5 linked regions of the Sus scrofa genome follow. The protein of the gene in region 4 interacts with the protein of the main gene of each other region in a biochemical or structural test. Links are inferred from orthologs where the notes say so. Each region holds a gene or a part of one and is shown on either strand. Other genes may lie near its edges. The genes, in order: MAPK1, STUB1, SMURF2, SMAD1 and ACVRL1.

Region 1 (4,605 bases), on a different chromosome or scaffold from region 4:
AATTCCAATAATATTTACACTTGGATCCTACTTAAGAAAGGAACGTCACATTAAGAGGGCTTGGTATTTTACCCGACAGAGATTTAGAAGGTCAAATAAGTCTACAGAAGCTACAGAAAGTTAGCAGATCTAAATGAGCTTCAGACTAGTAAACATTCTTATCAAATTAAAAAGAAAAAAAAACCTCTAAACTGGATTGTCATAAAACTAGTTTTTTGGTTTTTGTTTTTTTTTTTGTCTTTTTGCCATTTCTTGGGCTGCTTCCGCAGCATATGGAGGTTCCCAGGCTAGGGGTCCAATCAGAGCTGTAGCCCCTGGCCTATGCCAGAGCCACAGCAATGCAGATTCCGAGCCACGTCTGCAACCTGCACTACAGCTCACAGCAATGCCGGATCCTTAACCCACTGAGCAAGGCCAGGGATCGAACCCACAACTTCATGGTTCCTAGTCAGATTTGTTAACCACTGAGCCACGATGGGAACTCCAAAACTAGTTCTTTTCAGAGTCTATCTTAGGTTCTAATTTATCTTCTTTGGAAGGGCTGAAGGACATGACAGGCAATTCTGAACACTTCATAGAGACCTTTACTGGCACACTTACCAGCAGATACAACAGCAATCAGATGTAGGACACAAGTGATGCTGTGGGGCATTACTTTCTCTCCATTGCATTCTAGGACTGCATTTCTTTTAGGCCTCAACTAATTTAATTTCGCTTTTGGCTCCTTAGCCTCTGAATTCACGTTAATTCTCAGCTGTATACTTTGAAGCATTTTGATCTTGAAAAGAATGAAAATATTCAAGATTCAATGAAAGTCTTTTTCTTTTTTTTTAAAGTTTATGTAGTCTTTGAACCTAGCTAATGTAACTGGTAAATCATGCCCTCTATGGCCTTTCTGAAATCAAGATCATTTAAAGTTGAATATATTTCTGAAATAGATTTGCTTATGAGTAAGACAGACTAGAATTCTAAAATTATTAATAACATTATTTAAGAAAAATAGGATGTAATGAAAAGAGCTGCAGCAACTGAAGTTAAATTCTCAGTCTACAATCTCAAGTCTGACTCTTTAGTTGAATGACCTTAGGAATTGGCTTTACCAGAAATACTTTCTCATCTGAAAGATCTCACAGCCCTTCCCTCCCACCAGCTGACTATTCAAATAAAATGAGATAATATATCTAGCACAGTACCTGCCACGCAGCATTCAGTATTAGTTTTTTTCCTTCGTTCAACACAAAAGACACTCACAAGATTTAGGTATAAGGGAGTCCACACCTGCACAAGTCTTCATCAGCACAAGACAGCTAGTTAGTACTAATTTAAAAAAAAAAAAAAAACGAAAAAAAAACACCGTCACCTCCACTCCACAAACGTTTCTGAGGGATCTGCATCAAGACGAGGGAACCAGCATGTGACACTGCAAGAACTCCACCAGGACTGCATACATATTGACCACTAAAGCATTGACAGTAAAAGTCCACAATAATTGTGCTAAAACGTCTGGATGCCTTTATGCTGGTAATAGAGTTCAAGCGAGATAAAGGAAAAAGAAGCCAATTTAGGCCCAACTCCAAATGACTCCTTAATAAATCAAGAGAGGGATGCTGGTTTATCTTTCCTAAAACGCGGACAGTACGATATTAAAACCCATTTAAAAACTTCATCAAGAATGAAATATGCCAAAACAAACATTGACGCCACTAATGCTTTTTCAAAAGCCTGCGCAGGAGAGCACCGCTGGCACCACCGAAGGTATCTGATGAAAGCCGTGCGTGGAAAACGCAGGCGAGGGAAGGAAAATAACAGACGGTCATTTCGGGGCGGGGCACACACGCCGCGGCCGCCGCCGCCAGCATCTGAAGGAATTCGCGGCTTCCCACCCCGGCGCGAAGAGCAGGCCGCGCGGCGCACACCCAGGCCGGGGAGGGGGGCGGGGGGGGCGGAGGGGGCCTAGGTTCCCGGGCCGGGGTCCTGGATCCAGTGTCCACCCCCCGCCCCCTCCCCGCGCCGAGCAACGCCCCAGCCCGACCAGCCCCGCCCCGACCGAGGCCCCGCTGCGGTTGGCGGCGCAGCGGGCCTGGGTCGGAGGTCGGAGGTCCGGGTTGGGGTAGGGGCTGGGTCCGCGTCCGGGGTCGGGGTCAGGGTCGGGGTCCGGAGAGCAAGCGGGGCAGCAGCGGTGAGCCCGGCTGGGGGGGAGGGGAGGGCGGCGGGCGCGGCCAGGCCGCGGGGCATGGACACTCACCACACCATGCCGTAGGCGCCCTCGCCGATGTAGGAGAGGTTGGTGTAGCGCGGCCCCACGTCGAACACCTGCCCGCGGACCATCTCGGGGCCCGCGCCCGCCGCCGCCGCCGCCATGTTGGCTGCCGGGCCGCCGCCGCCGCCGCCGCACTGGGCTCGATGCTCCGCGGCCGCTGCTCGGCCCACGCTGCACCAACGGGGAGACCGCGCCCCAGCCGCTGCAGCCGCCGCCGCTGGCCGGGAAGAATCAGTGAGGGACCCGCTCGGGAGAGGTAGATAGCCACCGACCGCTCGTACCGACTGCCCGCCTGACTGACTGACGGGCGGGCCGGCGGGCGGAGGGAGGGGCGCGCGCCGAGGAGGGCGCCGGGGCAGGGCCGTAGGCGTGAGCGCGGATTGGCTCCCGCGGCCTGGGGGCAGGGCTGCGCGGCCGGCGGAAGAGGCGCGTTGGGGGCGGAGCACTGCAGCGGCGGGGCGGGGCGCGGTCACGTGCGCTCGCGGGAGGCGGCGGGGAAACGCTGAGGACTCCGAGGCGGGGCGAGCTTGCGGGGCCGAACGGGCGGGGCAGCGGGCCGAGAGAAGCTCCGGGCGGCTCCCTCCGAGTAGGAGCGCGACCGGGGCGGATTCCCCCCGCCCCCGCGCGCCGAGCCAGGTTTGTGAGAGTCCGGGGCCCATACAGATTAGAGGCCTCGAGACCCGCACAGAAGCCGGAAGGGTGACCGAGACCGAGAGAGATATTTGCATCCTGAGAAAGTGTGAAACCCAGAGTGGGAGGCGGAGACAAGAAGCCCGGACGCGGCCCGCTCCGGCAGAGGCTCGTTCAACAAGTGTCACCGCGTTCCTGCGCGTCCACCCTCCTCGAAGCTACCCTCCAGGAGATGATGGATGGACGGTCGATGGATCTGAAGGAAGACTCAAGTTGTCTGCGAAGTACTGCGAAGAAAAGGAGAGCAGAGTAAGGGGTTCGGGAGTAGTGGGTTGAGACCCTGAGAAAAACACTGAGATTCAGAGACTGGCACCCAAGTTGGTACAGATGGGCAGGATCTTACCCAGGTAGAAACGCGAAAAAAACAAGTATTAACATCTAGAGAAAACGAGTTAGACGCACTGAGGTTCAGAGATTGTCACAAAAATGGAAAAGAATGTATATATGTATAACTGAATCACTTTGCTGTATAGCAGAAATGAACACAACATAAATCAACTGTAACTTTAATAGTCACAAACACCAGAGGTTGAAAATAAAAGGCAGAATCTTGAAGCAGGTGAATTCGATAAACAGCTAAGACAATGAGACAGAAGATGATCCAGCCCTTGCTTCTGAGCCACTTCATTGGAGTCACCTGCGTCGTCTTGGAAAGGGGACTAAGGGTGGGAAATTCTGCGTCCTGATTGTCTGACACTGTGATCCAGAAAGCCTGGACTTCCAGTCATCAACAAAGATCAACTAGACAGTCTTGAAGATGAATAAGCAAAAGAGAAAAAAATCCTCTGGGGAAAAAAAAAAACATGTGGCATATGAGAAAATAAATAAAGGGCTACAGCCAAAAAGTACTCTTTTGAAATATGTTTAGTCCATAAAGTAGAACCCAACACCTGATTCTTATTCCTTTTTTTTTTTTTTTTTTTTTTTTGTCTTTTTGCCTTTTCTAGGGCCACTTCCCACGGCATGTGGAGGTTCCCAGGCTAGGGGTCTAATCAGAGCTGTAGCCACCGGCCTATGCCAAAGCCACAGCAATGCAGGATCCTTAACCCACTGAGCAAGGCCAGGGATCAAACCCTCAACCTCAGGGTTCCTAGTCAGATTTGTTAACCACTGAGCCATGACAGGAACTCCCTGATTCTTGATTAAAAGAAGAACTTGCATCTTTTAAAGGACAGGCCAAGATAAATAGAGGGTACCATGAAATTAAAACCACAATAGCCAAAGTAAAAGCAATGGTTGGAGCTGTAATAAGCAGACTTAACAGTGTAGAAGAGCAAGTCAGCAGGATAGGAGACGACTATGAGAAAAAGCTGGTGATGAAATTCTTTAAGAAGAAAATGTACAAGAGAACAAACACCACAAAGTCAAACTACAGGCACCCCCTCCCCAAAGAAGACAGAGCAAATCACTTAGAGGCAATAACTTACAGTAAAAGAAAACCTGCCTTAATGTCTAAAAAGATCTGTGGTGTTGGAGTTCCCTGGTAGCCTAGCAGTTAAGGACCTGGCATTGTCACTGCTGCAGCTCAGGTCACTGCTGCAGCAAAGGTTTAATCTCTGGCCTGGGAGCTTTTGTATGCTGCGGGTGCAACCAAAAGGATCTAGGATGGACATGGAAAATTGAGTTCTCTGAATCCAGAAAAAATAAATAAGCAG
Region 2 (4,748 bases), on a different chromosome or scaffold from region 4:
GTGCCCTTCCACTGGCATGGGCCCGGGTTCTCGGAGGTGATCTACGGCCGCAAGGTCAGCACAGTGTGAGGGCTGAACCTTGAGGTTCACTGACCACAACACAGCATGACCTTGTTGCTCCTTCCACCCTCAGCGCTGGTTCCTGTATCCCCCTGAGAAGACACCCGAGTTCCATCCCAACAAGACCACACTGGCTTGGCTCCGGGACACATACCCAGCCCTGGCACCATCTGCACGGCCCCTGGAATGCACCATCCAGGCCGGTGAGGTCAGTGGTTGGCAGGCAGGGGCTGGGCCGGGCCAAGGGCCTGCAACCAATCCCTGTGCCTTTCTCACCCCATCCACTAGGTGCTGTATTTCCCTGACCGATGGTGGCACGCCACACTCAACCTTGACATCAGCGTCTTCATCTCTACGTTCCTCAGCTAACCCAGGGGGTGGCTGGTAAGCCGTTGCACACCAGCACACGCCCCCATAGTGCTCACAGATTTTATTACAGGGACAGTGGTGGCAGCAGCAACCTCGGCCTGGCCCACCCTCACCTGCCGCTTCTGGCACAGGAGGATGGGGGAGCCTCATGGCCCAGCAGAACTGGTGGGGCTGGGGCTGGGGATACCAGGGTGGGGATCCAGGGACACGAACTATGTACAGAGGCTAGGGGCTGCTGCCCCAAGGCCCTCCCAAGAAGCCAGGATACTGGGCAGGGTGGGTGAGGGGCCCACCCACTTGCCCTGCCTCAGTAGTCCTCCACCCAGCCATTCTCCGAGATGAACGCATCAATGACCTCCTTCATGGCCAGGTTGGGGATGAGCTGTTCCTGGGTCAGGGGGCTCCGAGTCACAGGGTCAAAGTGGCCCACGCGCTGCAGTGGCAACAGGATCAGAATGAGAAGATGCCCAGTGGGTGTGGGCCCTGCCCCCAGCGGCTACGGACCCTTACCTGCAGGTGCTCCTCAATGTCCTTGCGGTCATAGGTGATGCCACTGGGCGTGATGCACGGCTCCCGCATCAGCTCGAAGCTGATCTTGCCACACAGGTAGTCAGGGATGTCTCGCTTCTGCAGCACCCAAGCTCAGGTCAGGAGCGGGAAGGGGCACTGCCCTGGCTCCTGCTACCCACAGGGCCCAGGGAACAGGCAGCTTACCTTTCTCTTCTCATCCACCTGGGAGAAGAGCTCATCCATGTCTGCCAAGTACTTATCCTACAAAAAACCAGGCAGCTCCAGAGAAGCTTGAGCCCCTGTCGCCTTTCCCCAGGCACCCCGCCCACAAAGACCCAACAGGAGCCAGGGTCACCTCACATCACACACGTGCAAATACACACAGGACCCACACGTGGGCAGGGCACCCTCACATGCTTGGCCTCGATGCAGGCCTGCTGGGCCCGGATGTGGCCGTCATCCTCTTCACCCTCGTGGTTCCGCTGACACTCTTCCAGCTCCCTGGGGTGGACCACACAGCTGATCAGAGATGGGTCTGGCCAGAGGAGATCAGACTCCACCTTGGGCCGATTCAGGCCCTGTTCCCTCATCTCCTGCTTTCCCAGGCTGGTCCTCAATAAACGCTTATGTTCACGACTCAGAATGGTGACTTTTGCGAGTTCCCGTCATGGCTCAGTGGTTAATGAATCCGACTAGGAACCATGAGATTGCAGGTTTGAACCTCGGCCTTGCTCAGTGGGTTAACGATCCGACGTTGTCAAGAACTGGTGTAGGTCGCAGACAACGGCTCGGATCCCGCATTGCTGTGGCTCTGGCGTAGGCCGGCGGCTAGAGCTCCGATTGGACCCCTAGCCTGGGAACCTTCACATGATACAGGAGGGGCCCTAGAAATGGCGAAAAGACACGAAAACAAAAAAACAAGGAAAAAAAGAATGGTGACTTTGGGAGGTGGGGTGGAGCCCATGAACACCACAGCCCACCTCTCACGCTCAGCCACAATGAGTCGAGTGAGGTAAGAGTGCAGCTCGTTCTCCTGGTGGATGCGCCGCTCCTCGATGCTGTTCCAGCGTTTCTTCTTGGCAATGCGCAAAGCACTGGGGATGTCATCCCCAAAATTGAGCCGCTGCTCCTTGGCCAGGTTGTAGGCTGGGGGAACAAAGGATCCGGGTAACCCTCGAGCCAGTCCCCCCGCCTGGTCCCAGGCACCCTGGAACAGGCCAGCCAGCAAGCCCACCTCGCTGCAGGTTGGCAATAGCCTCATCATAGCTCTCCATCTCCAACTGGCACTGCCCCAGGAAGAAGTGTGCTTTCACAGACTGGCTGTCCAGTTCCAGGGCGCGCCGGCAGTCAGCCAGGGCTTGCTCGTGCTGCTGCATCTTCAGGTAGCACAGTGCCCGGTTGGTGTAATACACTGCCACCAAGGGATTCCGGGTCTGGGGACCAAGGCCGGACCAGCCAACATGAGGGAGTGAGTTCAGCCTGCCCTTTCTGTCCTAGCTTGAGACCCACGGCTGGAATCAAGACACTAGAGGTTTCTCAGCACCCAGGTCTCTGGGCGCGGAGGAAGGGTGGAGCCTACCTGAGCCCGCCCCCTCGACTCCAACGAGTCTTGCGAAGACAGGTTTCCCAGACTCCTGAAAATCCCCAGCTTTGGGCTTGGACCCCCAGCCCAGTGGGCTGCAAGCACCCTGAAGCTCCCACCCGCCACAGTTCTCTGACCACCAACCCTGGCTCGGGAGCCGTAGCCTTGGCCTCTCTGAGAGAAGATCACTCAGTCCTCAGAGCCGAAGTGCATCCCCTCCGAAAGTCCGGTAGGGGCGGCCAGACAGGGGCTCCGGGGAGGACGCGGGGCCGAAGCCGCGGCCCGGCCCGGCCCCTCCTCCGGCCCCGACGCCTGCCCCCTCCCGCGGCCCGGGCGCACTCACGATGGCGCGGCCGTAGCAGGCCGCCGCCTCCGGGTACTTGCGGCCCACGAAGAGCCGGTTGCCCTGCTCCTTTAGCTCCTGCGCGCTCGGGCTCTTCTCCGGGCTGCCGCCGCCGGCGCCCAGCCGCGCGCCGCTCTCCTTCTCCTCCTTGCCCTTCATGGCGCCGCGCGGCACGGCCTGGGCTCCGCTCCCAGGCTCCGCGCCCGGCCCGCCCAGCGCCCGCACCCCGAGCCCGCGATCCGCTCGGGCCCAGTCCTGCGCTCTGCCACCGGAACTTCCGGCCGTGCGGTTGGGCGGGGCCTCGCGTGCCCCCAACGCGCCGCGGGGGCGGGGTTGGCAGGGAGCGTGCGCTCGCGGCGACTCGACGCGCGGCGTCGGCAACCTGAGGAGAGCCGAGGTCGTCGGGGCGGAAGCCCACCCCGGCGCCCCGGCGCCCCGCCCCCGAAGCCCTGCCCCGGCGCGTGGACATGGCGGCGGCCCGCGGCCTTTGGGGCTGTGAGGACCCGAGCCTCTGGGCCGCCGTCCTGGGCCGCCACGGGGAAGTGCTCCGAGCGCGCGCGGGCCCCCAGGGGCGGCTGGAAGCCCTGGACCGATGGTAGGGTGATAGGGGCATCGGGTGGGCGGGGGACCCCCGTGGCCCGGAGTCGCCGTCACAGCTCTTCTCCAGGTATCGAGAGGCGTTGCCCGCAGCCATCGAGGGCCGGGAGGAGAAGCACGTGACTCGAGAAGAGCTGGGGCAGCTGCTGGCTTGGAAGCTGGCTGTGAGGAACTTCCCACTTGGGGGGCGGGGCCTCCTTCCGGGGCGGGGCGTAGCGGTGTGGGCGTGGGCGTGGCTCGCCCGGGGGCGGGCCCTCGCGCTGTGGGGCGGGGCCCCTAGCGAGGTCCAGCACCCGTGACCCCCACCCCGACTTGACCAGCGGGGCCGCTTCAGGCCGCGCCTGCATCAGCTCGTCAGCGCCAACGCCCCGGAGTTGGTGGTGCAGCACTCGGCTGCCGCCTTCCCCCTCCTGCCAGACATGCACGCCGCGGTCACGGAATTACGCGCCCTGCGGGGCGTGGGCCCGGCCACGGCCTCGGGTTAGTCGGGAGAGCCTGGCGCCCTGGCAGGGTCGCGGGCGGAACCTGGTCTGTTAGTACATTTGCCTGGGACATCGCCTGATGGCCACGTTCATGACACCAAGAGCTGTTGCGAATGGCAGCCCCGAAGGTGTCTTGAGGCTGGTGGGGCCTGAGTGTTGGCTGTTTGCTGCCCATAGCGGTCTTGGCTGCCGGAGCTCCCGAGGTGGCAGCTTTCATGTCTGAGGAGGCAGTGGCCGCGGTGCCCGGTCTGCCAGCCCTGCAGTACACCCTCAAGCACTACCTGCTGTACCTGAGCCGGGTGCAGGAGCGAGCCACAGCTCTGAGCCATGGTGAGGAGACTGCTGGCAGCGAGGGAGGGCATTCAGGACTCTGGTCAGGGTGGAGGGTGCAGAGCTTCCCAGCAGAGCAGGGTGACCTGGGCCCCAGACTCCCTGTTGCCCCTCCTTAGGCAGTGCCTCAGGGCTGTGGACCCCGCATCGTGTGGAGACAGCCCTGTGGACCTGGGCTATAGGGCAGAAGCTGTGCCCTGACCTGCTGCCCGACCTCGGTCCCAGCCCAGCCGCCCCCGAGGACTCCAGGCCAGCCAAGAAGCGCCGGACCCAGACCGACTGATTTGGCTGTGGCCCAGATCCTGCTCACCTGCTCTGTGACCTCAGGGCACAAGTCTCTGGGCCAGAGGCTGGCTGCTGTAGGAGCCCAATAAATGCTTGCTGAACTCACACCTGCCTGTGAGGCCCACAGTCCCTCCCCAGCCCGTCTGGCCCGTCTCTCACAGACGCAGCTCACGACAGGTGCAGAGAAGCA
Region 3 (3,993 bases), on a different chromosome or scaffold from region 4:
TTCAATTCAGAAGCTATGGTGTTTCTGCCGCATTTATATAAAGTGAATTCTCACTCCTTGAAAAAAAAAAACTTGATGATGCACATAGCATAAACATTACAGCTTCTGTATTGAAACATTCTAAGGACAATTTACGATACACACGCATACATACACATACTTACAAACATTCCTTTACCAAAGTTAAAAAGTATGGCAATGAAAGCAAAGGAAAACAGCAGAATACACACCATTAAAATCTCAAGATTGTTCCTGACAATGTAAAGCAGAGGGGATAACATGTACTGAAGAAGAGAGAAGGAGAAAAGTCCTGGCCTGCAGGGCCTACAAACAGTCCCCAGAGGGTTGCAACGAGTTTTCAGAGAAAGTCTCAGTGGACTGCCCGGTCCACGGGGGAGATCACAAGCACTCTTCTGGCAGCAGTACCATCCTAACCTCATTAGCAATACACCTATTCGGGTATCCTTTACATCGCACACAATAGGGAGTATTACGCTAGAAAACACGTATCAATGAGAAAGCGACGCCACAGGAAATATCTTAAATTTGCGAACATGAGGATCCACACATCAGTTACTGAGAAGCAAGTCTTCACCTGGCAACTCCTCCGTAGTCAAGGCCTTCTTCTCCACGAAATTTTATCATTAATCGCTTCCAGAGATCTTTTGGTCTCATTTTCATGACTTGCCGATATGATTCCTGAAAAAAACATTTAATACACTATTATTACTAGGTGCCTTTAACCTATTACTTAAACTCTCCCTCCCATTCCACCTACAAAACATATGTTTATTTAAATAAGGTGGAAATTGTTTATCAAATCAACAGATAAACTCCAAGTGTTTGAAATCTAAACAAACTTCTAAAAACAAAATGTGATATAGCTTAAAACTACTGGAACCAATTCATTTGATAAATATTATATTAAAAGCCTACTAAGTGCAAAACTCCATATTTAAGTCCTCTGAACCATAGCAATGATTCCACTCACATCAAAAAACAGAAGTTCATAGCAGGACCAAACTTTTTTATTAACCTCTAGGTCACAGACACCGTAGAAAGTAAAGTTAAGAAAAAGAAGTTTCAGAAAACATAAGTAGTCATTAATGTAATCTTCATTAAACTGACAACTTTGTATTATTTTAAAAATACAAATGACGGACTACAAATAAGGTCAGAACTGTTCTGAGAGAAAAAAGTTGATCCTTTGGGAGAAGGATTACAAAGTCGCCCAAACGTCTACTGCCTAAGAACCCTTAATGAGTGGGAAACCCTGCCTTGGACCTCTGCCACTTACTATGTAAGAACTTTGCTATTAGAGCTATAAAATCCAAAGATAAAGGATATACTAGAAAGGAAGATTTTCAATAAATTAAGGAAGTAGTCCAACAGTAATGAAACAAAGGGATTTTCTGACTTAAGAGTCCCTTACCTTTTGGAAGAATCAGAAAATAAGGGATGGATAGTATTGTAGACTTTTAAAATTCAAATCAAATAAATATTTGCAATACATAGATCAAGCTGCACAGAGTATCTCACACTCCCTCTTACTTATATGTTTATCTTATATTAAATGTCTCCAGTATTATTGCCTTTATTCTCCACAATTAAAAAAGAAATTAATGATGAACAACAAAGTCCTACTATATAGGGAGCTATATTCAATATCCTATGATAAATCACAATGGAAAATATTTAAATAAAAGGACGTATGTATATGTGTAATTGAATCATCTTGCAGTAGCGCAGAAATTAACACAACATTGTAAATCAACTATACTTCAATTAAAAAAAATTAATGAAAATTCTTCCATTCTAGGAGTTCCCTTGTGGTGCAGTAGGTTAAGGATCCAACACTGTCTTGCAGCAGCTTGGGGTGCTGCCGTGGCACAAGTTCAGTCCCTTACCAGGGAACTTCACATGCATTGGGCACAACCAAAAAAAAAAAAAGGAAGTAAAATTCTCCCATTCTAAAGAGACCTAAGTGCCCCAAAATATACTTGGAAAACAGAATAAATCAGTGAAATTTAATTTTTTCTCTATTTTAGAGTAAGACTTGAAGTTTACCTCTTTGCTGTATAGCAGAAATTGACAGAACACTGCAAATCAACTACACTTCAATTAACTATAAAAAAAGTTTACCTCAAAAATCTCTTCCCTGGAAACCTCAATGCGACAATGGCCAGCCTGAGGCTGTTGCTGGGAAAGTTCTTGCCGCAGAATTTTTAGCTTCTGAACCAGGTCTCGTTTGTACCGTGGGACTGTCAGACACTCTGTGTCATCAGGACATAACGATACCACCTGCTGCTGCTGCTGGTCTTTCAACTGGTTCTGTCGACTAAAAGTACACAAATATTACTAAAGTATTTTAAACAAAAAAGACAGCAATCATATATTTAAAATAGCATCATACTCTAAACCAAGTCTAGCTATATCATTCTAGGCCTTATTATATTCTTAGCCTGACATTTTTGACAACAATAAACTAATTCTAAAGTTTATCTCTCAGAATTTATGGACTTGGATAATAGAGTTTTATCTCAAAAGCTTTATACAGCTGCTGAGAACAACTTTCTCAAATACCATTTCCATTTTCTTCCGCATAGTTTACCATCACTCATTTTAAAATTCAGGCACATGCCAAAGCCTGGCCCTGTTATCTAGAGTCCGTCTCTCTGGAATAGACAAACTTTGAACTGGCAGCTTGACAGGGCCCCCTTCAAGGCACGCTACAGTCTAGACCACAGGTCACGTGGAAATTATTGGCACAGAGAAATGAGAACTTTACAAACAAGTCTAAATGCTTTATGACAACTTCTTATTGTGGTAAAATACACGTAACATAAACTTTACATTTTAACCATTTTTAAGCATTGTAGTAAGTGGCATTAAGTACATTCACATTGTCTACTGTGCTGAAGTGACTTCTAACTGCACATATATGATTTACCATAAATACATGTAAATAATCTCCCAAGTACAGCAGAAATATAACAATTTTTAAAAGGCACACTGCCTAATAATATATTTATTCTTTGGCAAAAATATAAGTTGCATCTAAGAATTTTTAAGACTCTTACGATATAATGAATAGTTAATTCCAATAAACAGTCAGGAAATTAAAAGTCAGAGAATTTACTATGGACATCTATGCAGACCTTGAGTGATTCAGCTGGAATTTTACATACAAGACTACAATCTCCTAACTTACAAGTGAAGAGTAATGATAGCTATGAGGAAATAAAAAAAAAAAAAAAAAAAAACCTTCAGTTCACTAACAAATCACTCAACTTACTTTATATACGTGATTCTTAAATACCATGCTAAACTTTATACCTGGAACATTTAACTAATAACTATCCAGAGAAAAAAGCAGCTTTGATAAAAATTATAAATCACTATTTACTACTCTTGTAAACATTATAATAAAGGTGTTATATATATATATGTATGTATACACACATATATAAATCAAAACAAATATATAAAAACTCCTAAAATACACCTTAACTATATTAATCTATACTCCCCTAAAAGAACTGGTGTATACCTTACACCAAATACAAAACTCAAAACGGATCAGAGACCTTAATGTAAATCTCAAGCCACGAAATCTTTGAAACACAGTTAGAAAACTTATATGACTGATGTCAGGGAAAGATTTCTTAAATATGATCCCAAAAGCACAATGATAAAAGTACAAATAGATAAAATGAACTTCATTGAAATTTCAAAGAAACTTTCTGCTTTCAAAAGACACTATTAAGAAAATGAAAAGGAGTTCCCGTCATGGCTCAGTGGCTAACGAATCCAACTAGGAACCACGAGGTTGCAGGTTCGATCCCTGGCCTTGCTCAGTGGGTTAAGGATCCGGCGTTGCTGTGAGCTGTGGTGTAGGCCACAGACATGGCTCAGATCCCAGTTGCTATGGCTCTGGCGAAGGCCGGCAGCTACAGCTCCATTGGACCCCTATCCTGGGAACCTCCACATGCC
Region 4 (4,650 bases):
CTCCCAAACATAGACAACCACCATTCTGTCTCTATAGATTTGCCTATTCTGGATATTTTATTTTTTTGTCTTTTTAACACTGCACTCGAGGCATATGGAGGTTTCCAGGCTAGGGGTCCAATCCGAGCTACAGCTGCTGGCCTACGCCACAGCCACAGCAATGTGGGACCCGAGCTTCGTCTGTAACCTACACCACATCTCACCGCAACTCCGGATCCTTAACCCACTGATGGAGGCCAGGGATCAAACCTGAAACCTCATGGTTAATAGTCGGTTTCATTAATCACTGAGCAACTACGGGAACTCCATTTATATTTTATATAAATGGAAGCTTACAGTCTGTGGGGTTTTTGTCTAGCTTCTTTCACTTAGCATAGGGTTTGCAAGTTTCATCCACGTAGAATGTCAGAACTTCATTCCTTTTTATGACTGAATGTGTTCCATTGTGTGCATACAGCACATTCTATTTATCAAAGGAGGGTTTGAGCACAGTAGTGACCTGTTTGGAGTGGCATTTCACAAGGCTCATTGCAACTGTTGCTGCCAGGGGTAGAGAATGAATTAACTGTCAAATGCTGTTCTTAGGGGAAACAAGACAAGGCCCAAGAATTGACCTGTAAGTGCTCAAATAATTGAACGAAGAAATTAGCAGACATAGTCTGACTATATATAAACAGTATTTTATGTATTTGGGGGGACCTGTTGCATTTCTTTTGAATGATTAAACATGGGATGTAGCAATAAGATGGTTAATAAGTAAGAATTTAAAATGGAATGTGCACATGTAAAGTACATGACAATTGGAGAATACCATTAATTTGACTTAAAAAAAATGATGGTAATAGTTCTTTTGGAACACGTAAATTTACTCCTCAGAATCATTATTCTCTAAACATAACCTTACCCTAATCATCCAAGATTTCAGGCCAGCTTCTAGAGAGCCGGCTAAGAGAAGAAAAAACTCTCATAAACAGACATTTTTAATGTCTGTGCAGATCAGGTGGATGGGAGCTAGTTTAGTTTTATTTTGGGAAGTTGGTGTCAACCAAAAGGTGGCAGAACCTGGATCAAAAAATTGAGAGTTCTGTTGCGGCATCTGTCATTTGGAGCAAAGACGTTAACTACTGGAATCTCTAGATCCTGAAACTGGCATCAAACACATGTATTGATTCAAGGTTTGGGCTAAGTACAAGAAATAGTTACTAGGTTATCCAGTTTTCAGTACGTGCAACTTCTGGGGCTTGCAAATCTTTGAGGAGTGAGGGGCAAGGAAAACTAGACCTAAAAGGCGAGGCTCGAAAGGTGATGATCAAAAATGCACTCTATGTTTAAAATGCGATTCGGTGGGCGGGGTGGCCAAATGTTTCGGAAAATAAACATAGAACGCGGAACTTCCCTTGCAGGTAAGGCTGAGTTGGCTTCACGGGGACCAGAGGAGGCAGGGACAGCCGTTTCGATTCCTAGGAATCAGCGGGGCGGTGGGCGGGGGAGGCGGCGCGGGCCCGGCGCTCGCGCTGGCGGGGCCGGGAATTTGGAGAGGATCCCTGGTCGCGCGGCGGCGGCGGCGGCGCGCGCGGGTGCGCGTGTGAGCGAGCGAGGGAGCGGGAGGGCGAGTGCGCCCGGTATTGGCAGCGGAGGAGTGGAGGCTGGGCGGCTCCGACTCCCTGACGCCAGCGCGACCAGATCAATCCAAGCTCCCGGAGCAAGCGAGCGAGCGGGCGGGCGGGAGGAGGAAGGAGAGGCCGAGCCGCTGAGCCCGAGCCGAGGCGCGGGGAGGGACCCTGCGAGCGCAGCGCCCGGCCGGCCGGACCGGGGCCGCGGGGGACCCCGCTCGCCCGGCCACCTCGTGCGCCCGCGCGGACGGGCGCGCAGCCAACCCGGTAAAACGAAACAGACCCGAACCCAACTTTCTCCTCCGCCGCGTCCCCGCCCTCCCTTCGGCGCCCCGCGGACTTTCCAGCGCCGCCGCCACCGCCTCGGGTTGGGGCGGGCGCGGGCCAGCCGGGTGGCCGCGGTCGTGCACCGGGCCAGTGGTGCGGTTGAGGCGGAGAGGGGGCTCTTCCCCGCGTGGGGCGGACCGGCACCCCCCCCCCCCATGATGGCGCCTCCCGGCAGCTCTAGGGAACCAACCTGCCACCTTCTCTCCCCTCGCGCTCCGCCAGCCAGGCTGGGCTTGGGCCGGAGTGCCCCCTGCGTCTTTGTTGGGTCCCCGGCGGGGACGCCGCGTCCCTTGGCCCCCAGCCTCGCCCCGATCCCTGCCCGCGGCCGGCCCTCGGCGGCCACCCTCCCCCCTCCGCCCGTTTCCCTTTCCCTTCCTGCAGCCGGGCCTGAGCCGTCGGCGCGGCCCGCCGGGCCCATTGTGTCCCGCGCCGGCCGGGCGACCCCTGCGGGAGTCGGAGGGCGGCCGCGGGCGCTGTCCTTTCCGCGAAGTGGGGCTCGCGCGAGGGGGCACCCGGTGCCCTGCGTCCCTCCGGCTTCGGGCCGGGCTCCCTCTTCTGCCCCGGCCAGCCTCTTGAGGGTCGAGGTCAAGGAAAGTTCTCACCTAAATTCTCTCTAATTTAGTCAAAGGTTTGGCTGCACGTAATTTTTTTTTTTCTCTTCCGCCTACCCCCCCCCCCCCCCCGCGCCCCGAGTCTCCAAGTGTCGTCTCATTCCTTTCCCTTTCCCGGATTTGATTGCCTCACTGCATGTGTATTTGTGAGTTCGCCGTGGAACAAGTGTTCATTTACTCTGCGCATGGTCTTTGTTAGTGTTTCTCGGGGTTGTTTCTGCAGGAAGGTGGGGGTGGTGGGTGTGAGAGAGACAGACGTGGGCTTGTTTTTCTAGTTGCTTAATACATATGAAGGCTTCCCAGGGAGAGCGTTTCCTTGATGTACTTTGGGAAGGGAGGAGGAACAGATGCCTGCCGGATCTTACAACTCCAGTAGCTGCGGCTTTTGTTTATTTTGAGGCGTGGACGATGTTTAAATGCACCGTGCAAGATCCCCAGTAAGGCGCTTTCCCTTCTGCAGATCGAGGAGCGTCTCAGAACTGTCTCCTGAGAAAGCACCATTGTCGTGAGAGCTCTGACAGCCGGCCTTTTTCTTTCCGCTGAGGTTCTTTTGCCATTGCAGCTGAAGTTTCAAAGTCTATGGAATGATCCCAGAAGTTGCCTGAGCTCTGTATGCCTTTGCGTTGCTGAAACTCTTCGCGATTAGCTCGATCGCAGAATGCCTTTATTTCAGAGCATATCTCGCTCTCCTTGGCTGTCGTGGATGACGTGCCCACATTCAGGAACACAGTGAGAAAACTGTCTTCTGCCCATGTTGATTTTTCGTCTTGTTTCTAATTACTCCTTTGCACTTTATTGGCGGTAGGTGAGCGGTCTTGGAACCAGGATTTCAGAAGAATTGAGGCAGAATCAATGTTCACCGCCCCAGGATTTTCAGTTAGTATAAATATTTTGCATCAGTGTTATTCTGATGGAGGTGCCAGGCCTAAATCTGCTGTGCTGATTTAAGTATTTGTCCTCTGTCCTCCCTCCCTCTTTGCATTTGCAGTTACTTGATATTTCTGTGCAGGTGGTGTACATTTGTGTAGTATTGCCATTCTTAGGAAACTGTAACCAGGGTCGTGGGAGATGATTTTCTAGAGGTGGGTGATGCCAGAGTCTCTGGAGGATCCGGGCAGGATCGGGTGTCTTCTGAGGGTAGGGATTTGTCCTTGATTTAGTTTTGACCCTTCCAACCATAGGTATGTAACTAAATACATTTTTCCTTCTTGCAGTATCCTTTGGTTTTGTACCTTCGAAGAGCTGATGACCTTTGCATTTTAGAGAAATGATAGTTTTTAGGCGGTTAAAAATGTTACGCTCTTACACCTCTTGGCATTTATTTATTTTTTCCAAGTTCATTAAAGCGTTAAGAGCAGGTAAGCCTCGTTTTCCCCAATACATTTATTAGTTGAAAACTAAATTGCAGTTTGTAATTTTGATTTCTAGTAATTCTGGGTTTAGTAACTTGGTTAGATTGGAAAAAGAATAAACTTGAGTGTAATTAGATGAGTATATTTAAGCTGCAGTCGCCTACATAATCAAGGCCAAGTTGTGTGTGTATAAAAGATCTCATTTGTGTAGTCTTACAAGGCTAATGGAGGCATCATTGAGGCTTTATAAATAATGTAAGTTGTGTATAATGTAGCGTCTCCAGAGACGGCAGAGAAAGCATCATTACCAGCCTTTTCAACCTGCTTGAGATCTTAAATTGATTTACAGCACTGAACTGGTGCAAAATGATACATCAGGATGACATGGGGTCAGCCTGTAAAAGTCTATGATGTCAGCCTATTAGTTCAGTCATCATAATTAAACCGTATTACAGGGGCAGCTAAGCAGGAGTCTGGCGTTATCCTTCAGATATGGGTGGTACATGTATTTTGTTTATGGTGGAAAGGCTGAACTGACAAGGAACGCTAGGGTTTCTAAAAAAGGGGAAAGGCTTACAGAACTCTGAATTTCTGAAAAAAACTGAAGGTACGTGAAGGGCTGTTCAGTCTGCATTGTCTAAATAGCTTTCCATTAGGTCGTGGAGAAACAGATGCTTTGGGGTGCTGATAAGGACCGTTGCAGCTCAGATCTGTGCACTGAACCATGCTTCATGTGAGCTTGAATTT
Region 5 (3,993 bases), on a different chromosome or scaffold from region 4:
CATTTACTGAGCTCCAGAACTGCTCCTAAACATAATGCCCCCAATACTTTATCTGATTATTTCAATAACTGGAAATGATTATTATCATTACCATTAATATTATTAATTATTATTATTTTTTTTACAGCTGTACCTGCGGCATATGGAAGTTCCCAGGCTAGGGGTTGAATTGGAGCTGCAGCTGCCGGCCTACGGCACAGCCACAGCAACGCAGGATCCGAGCCACACCGAGACCTATGCTGCAGCTCACAACAACAAAGAATCCTTAACCCACTGAGCGAGGCCAGCAATCAAATCTGCATCTTCAGGGAGACAATGCTGGGTCTTTAACCTACTGAGCCACAACGCAAACTCCGATAAATTATTTTTACTCTCACTTTACAAATTAGGAAACTGAGGCAGAGAGGTTTAAGTACCTTGCACACAGTTGATGGCAACATCAGGAACTGAACCTAGGCAGTCTGATTACCAACCCATGTCTGTTTTTCCTTCCTTCCTTCTTTCTTTCTTTCTTTCTTTCTCGCCTTCTTTCATCTTTTTAGGGACACACCTGTGGCATATGGAGGTTCCCAGGCTAGGGGTCTAATTGGAGCTGTAGCCACCGGCCTGCACCACAGCCACAGCAAAACCAGATCCAAGCTGCATCTGAGACCTACACTGGCCTTCACAGCAACATGGGACCCTTATCCCACTGAGGGAGGCCAGGGATAGAACCTGTGTCCTCGTGGATACCAGTCGGTTTCGTTACCACTGAGCCACAAGCGGAACTCCACCAACTCATACTCTTAACCGCTAAGCAATACCACCTCCCTGCCAACACAGGACGATTCCATAAGAGAATACATGTATACGGCATAGCATATGGCTCATATTTAAACTCAATACATGTTAGCTGCTATTAATATTTCTGTTATTAGCACTTACTCATGATTTCACAGCCAGAATCAGACTCAGATGAACCTTAAAAAGTCACTCAGCTGAGCCAGTGGTGAGTGGCAGTAAAGAGAACACAGGAGGTCTAACCACAAGCCCCTCCGGCCATGGGCACCAGCCATGGCAGGAAGCCGTCTCCTGCCTGTCTATTCCCCTTTTCCCACCCTGTGCAGGAGCCTCACCGTTGACAATGGTCCGCCTGGCGATCTCCCACAGCACCAGGCCAAAGGCCCAGATGTCCGTCCACTTGTAGGACTCAAAGCAGTCAGTGCGGATCTGCTCTTCCAGCACCTCGGGGGCCATGTACCGCTTGGTGCCCACTCGCGGGTTGTTGCCGATGTCCAGGTAATCGCTACCCTGGGAGTGCATCACAGCCAGGCCTGTGGGTACCCAGGCCTGTCACTCCTGCCGCCCACCCGAGCCCATAGGCAGGGCTGGGGGAGGGGCGGGGCGTGAGGTTGAGATGGAAGTGGGGACACAGAGCAGCCCGTGGAGACCTGCCTTGAGGGGGGGCTGGGAGACAGCAGCCCCAGGGAGAATAACAGAACAGCCCAGTTTCACTTCGCTTGTGCAGCGCTCTCTGGGTGCAAGAACCCAGCGAGAGGTGAGCAGGCGAGGCAGGCACCATGATGCCCATTTCACAGAGCTGAACCCCAAGGCCTGGTGAGGGGCAGCGATGTAGTCAGCGAAGCCGGAATGAGAACCCAGGTGGCTGGCTCCCTGCCCCCTTTCTCCCAACTCCTGGAGCCCAGCTGGTGTGGCGGAAGGAGTCTGGGCTTGAAAAGAGTGTTAACGCAACTTGTGGAGGTGCGATGAGACCACACACGTCTGTAGGTTTTAAAGCGCCAATCAGCGTCCTCCTCGACGCCAGGCATCCAATCAGGCAAAGACCGAACCGAGAGGGAGCGCGCACAGACCCCCCCCACGCCCCGCCCCCTTGAGGACCCGCCCCTCCCCGCTCACCCAGGTCTGCGATGCAGCACTGCAGGTTGCTCTTGACCAGCACGTTGCGGCTCTTGAGGTCGCGGTGGGCGATGGCCGGCTTGCCCTGCGTGCCGAAGATCTCCACGTGCAGGTGCGCCAGGCCGCAGGCCGCCGACACGGCTAGCCTCAGGGCCAGCTGCGGCTCCAGCGTCTGCCTCTGCAGAAAGTCGTAGAGCGAGCCATGCTCGTGGTAGTGCGTGATGAGCCACAGCTGCGTGCTCGAGTTGCGGGACGTCATGTCCGAGGCGATAAAGCCTGTGGGCGGAGGGTCAGGTCGCTCACCAAGGGGCTGGGGATGAGGGAGATGAACCAGTCAGGGCTGGGGACAGAGGATGCGCTAGGTCAGGGTGCATCCTCCACCCACCCATGGGGTGGTGTGGAGGCTGGTCTGGCTTAGGTCAGAGAGGAAGCCGGAGTCAGCGTTTGGGGCTGAGGGCTGGCTGGGAGTCCTTCAAGGGTAAGTCAGTATCCAGATTGGGGAGGGGGTGTGATGGTCCCGCCCTGAGTGCAGGAGGGTGACAGGGGGGCCTGGCATAGCGCGCCGGGCTTGCCTAGGATGTTGTCGTGTCTGAGCAACACCGTGTTGTAGATCTCAGTCTCCCGGAACCAGGACTGTTCATCCCTGGAGGAGAAGATCTTGACCGCCACACTCTCGCCATGCCACAGGCCCCGCCACACCTCGCCATAGCGGCCCTTTCCTGACCCGAGGGCAAGAGAGGAGGGAGCGGGTCACATAACTGGGTGCGCAGAGCCCACGAAGCCGGGAAGAGCCCCTCCCCCTCCCCCATTATGCTGCTGCACGGACTGCATCTGCAGAACCTCTGATGCTTATGTTTATGTTTAATTTCATCCAGATCCAAACACAGCTGGCAGCCCCCCCCCCATGTGCCTCTTGTTCCTGCAGAAGTGTCTGGCGCTGACCCTGCTCCAGCCCCCTCCCTGCCCAGCAGAATTCCCATTCTGACCCGGCCCTGGCCTGGCCTGTGAGCGTGGAGGGCAGCAGCTCCCTCACCCCTCCAAGCTCATGGGAGCTCTGGGTCCCCAGCCTTACCCACACACTCCACCAGGGCAACCTGCCGTGCCACTGTCCTCTGTACCAGGAAGGGGAGCCCTGAGCCACTGCCCGTGGTGCAGTCACTGTCCATGAGGTCCTGGGAATACCAAGAGGCCACTGAGAGAGAGGCAGCCCTCATCCACCCAACCCATTTCTCCCTCCTCAGCCTGGGCCCCCTGCTGTCTCTCTTCACACTCCTCATTCACCAGCCCCTCCCTTCCAGCGCCCAATCAAATCTCTACGTGCCTGCCACGTGCCTTTCTCAGCTACCTGCCATTCAGTACCCCCTCCGATTCTGTGGCCCCCGTCTTCCCACCGCCACCCTGTGTCCCAGGCTCCCCCAGGCCCGTACCCCCAACATGCTGTCCCCCTGCTCAGATGCCTTCAGGATGAGGCTGGACTCGCCCAGCTCGCTGTTTAGGCCCCGCTGCTTCTCCTGCCTCCGCCGGACATGCCACAGGCCCAGGGCACCCAGGGCCACCAGGACCAGGAAGGCCAGCACAGGGCCCAGGATCAGAGGCAGCTGGCTGTCTGCTTGTGGCTGCTCCGGAGGAGTCTGGGTGGCTGGCGGAGGGGGGACACTGAGGCCCAGCTCCCTGCAGGCCAGATGGCACCCCCGCCCCGCCCCTCTGCCAGTCAGATCCCAGAGTCCTGCCTCCCCCGCCCTCCAGGCCAGAGCATGAGAGACAAGCAGGGCAGGGTGGGCAGAGTCTGAGAAGGCGGGCAGCTGGACGTACCCTCCAGTGCCAGGGACACGTTGTGGTTGCAGAGGGAGCTGTAGCAGCAGTAGTGGTTGACGAACTCAGTGGGGTGCCCCCTGCAGAGCTCCTGGTGCAGGTTCCCACAGCCCCGATGTTCCTGGGGGTGGCCGCCCTCCTCCCGCACCAGCACTACTGTGCACCAGGCCCCCTGGCAGGTGGGCCCCTTGCAGTATGGGTTCTCACACGTGCAGGTCACCAGCAGATCCCGAGAGGGCTTCACGGGGTTGCCTGGGAGACACACTGGAAGCTCAGCCATTCTGG

Evidence for each region.
Region 1: of the proteins of SMAD1 (region 4) and MAPK1, one has a biochemical effect on the other in vitro, tested with the Homo sapiens proteins (3 studies listed by BioGRID). The link is inferred for Sus scrofa from reciprocal best matches to the Homo sapiens genes SMAD1 and MAPK1.
Region 2: the proteins of SMAD1 (region 4) and STUB1 form a complex in vitro, tested with the Homo sapiens proteins (3 studies listed by BioGRID, with this or other methods). The link is inferred for Sus scrofa from reciprocal best matches to the Homo sapiens genes SMAD1 and STUB1.
Region 3: the proteins of SMAD1 (region 4) and SMURF2 form a complex in vitro, tested with the Homo sapiens proteins (2 studies listed by BioGRID and IntAct, with this or other methods). The link is inferred for Sus scrofa from reciprocal best matches to the Homo sapiens genes SMAD1 and SMURF2.
Region 5: of the proteins of SMAD1 (region 4) and ACVRL1, one has a biochemical effect on the other in vitro, tested with the Homo sapiens proteins (2 studies listed by BioGRID). The link is inferred for Sus scrofa from reciprocal best matches to the Homo sapiens genes SMAD1 and ACVRL1.

What each region holds. Positions count from the first base shown.
Region 1 is NC_010456.5:50,081,486-50,086,090, reverse strand, and holds the start of MAPK1 (mitogen-activated protein kinase 1), read right to left. Parts: upstream 3,013-4,605; 5' UTR 2,989-3,012; coding exon 2,246-2,988; intron 1-2,245. UniProt on the Homo sapiens protein: Serine/threonine kinase which acts as an essential component of the MAP kinase signal transduction pathway. MAPK1/ERK2 and MAPK3/ERK1 are the 2 MAPKs which play an important role in the MAPK/ERK cascade.
Region 2 is NC_010445.4:41,092,039-41,096,786, forward strand, and holds STUB1 (E3 ubiquitin-protein ligase CHIP), read right to left. Parts: upstream 3,144-4,748; 5' UTR 3,024-3,143; coding exon 2,865-3,023; intron 2,373-2,864; coding exon 2,174-2,372; intron 2,086-2,173; coding exon 1,920-2,085; intron 1,583-1,919; exon of another isoform or gene 1,441-1,582; coding exon 1,353-1,440; intron 1,201-1,352; coding exon 1,144-1,200; intron 1,057-1,143; coding exon 940-1,056; intron 863-939; coding exon 737-862; 3' UTR 476-736; downstream 1-475. Other genes in the region: JMJD8 (jmjC domain-containing protein 8), read left to right, coding at 1-54, 134-268, 349-429; uncharacterized protein LOC100524737, read left to right, coding at 3,332-3,459, 3,532-3,625, 3,782-3,941, 4,121-4,273, 4,393-4,556. UniProt on the Homo sapiens protein: E3 ubiquitin-protein ligase which targets misfolded chaperone substrates towards proteasomal degradation.
Region 3 is NC_010454.4:14,469,635-14,473,627, reverse strand, and holds part of SMURF2 (E3 ubiquitin-protein ligase SMURF2), read right to left. Parts: intron 2,339-3,993; coding exon 2,143-2,338; intron 700-2,142; coding exon 596-699; intron 1-595. UniProt on the Homo sapiens protein: E3 ubiquitin-protein ligase which accepts ubiquitin from an E2 ubiquitin-conjugating enzyme in the form of a thioester and then directly transfers the ubiquitin to targeted substrates.
Region 4 is NC_010450.4:82,984,956-82,989,605, reverse strand, and holds the start of SMAD1 (mothers against decapentaplegic homolog 1), read left to right. Parts: upstream 1-1,696; 5' UTR 1,697-1,880; intron 1,881-2,552; exon of another isoform or gene 2,553-2,568; intron 2,569-2,636; exon of another isoform or gene 2,637-3,427; intron 3,428-4,650. UniProt on the Homo sapiens protein: Transcriptional modulator that plays a role in various cellular processes, including embryonic development, cell differentiation, and tissue homeostasis.
Region 5 is NC_010447.5:17,273,907-17,277,899, reverse strand, and holds part of ACVRL1 (serine/threonine-protein kinase receptor R3), read right to left. Parts: intron 3,961-3,993; coding exon 3,709-3,960; intron 3,536-3,708; coding exon 3,324-3,535; intron 3,069-3,323; coding exon 2,969-3,068; intron 2,616-2,968; coding exon 2,469-2,615; intron 2,173-2,468; coding exon 1,897-2,172; intron 1,314-1,896; coding exon 1,116-1,313; intron 1-1,115. UniProt on the Homo sapiens protein: Type I receptor for TGF-beta family ligands BMP9/GDF2 and BMP10 and important regulator of normal blood vessel development. On ligand binding, forms a receptor complex consisting of two type II and two type I transmembrane serine/threonine kinases.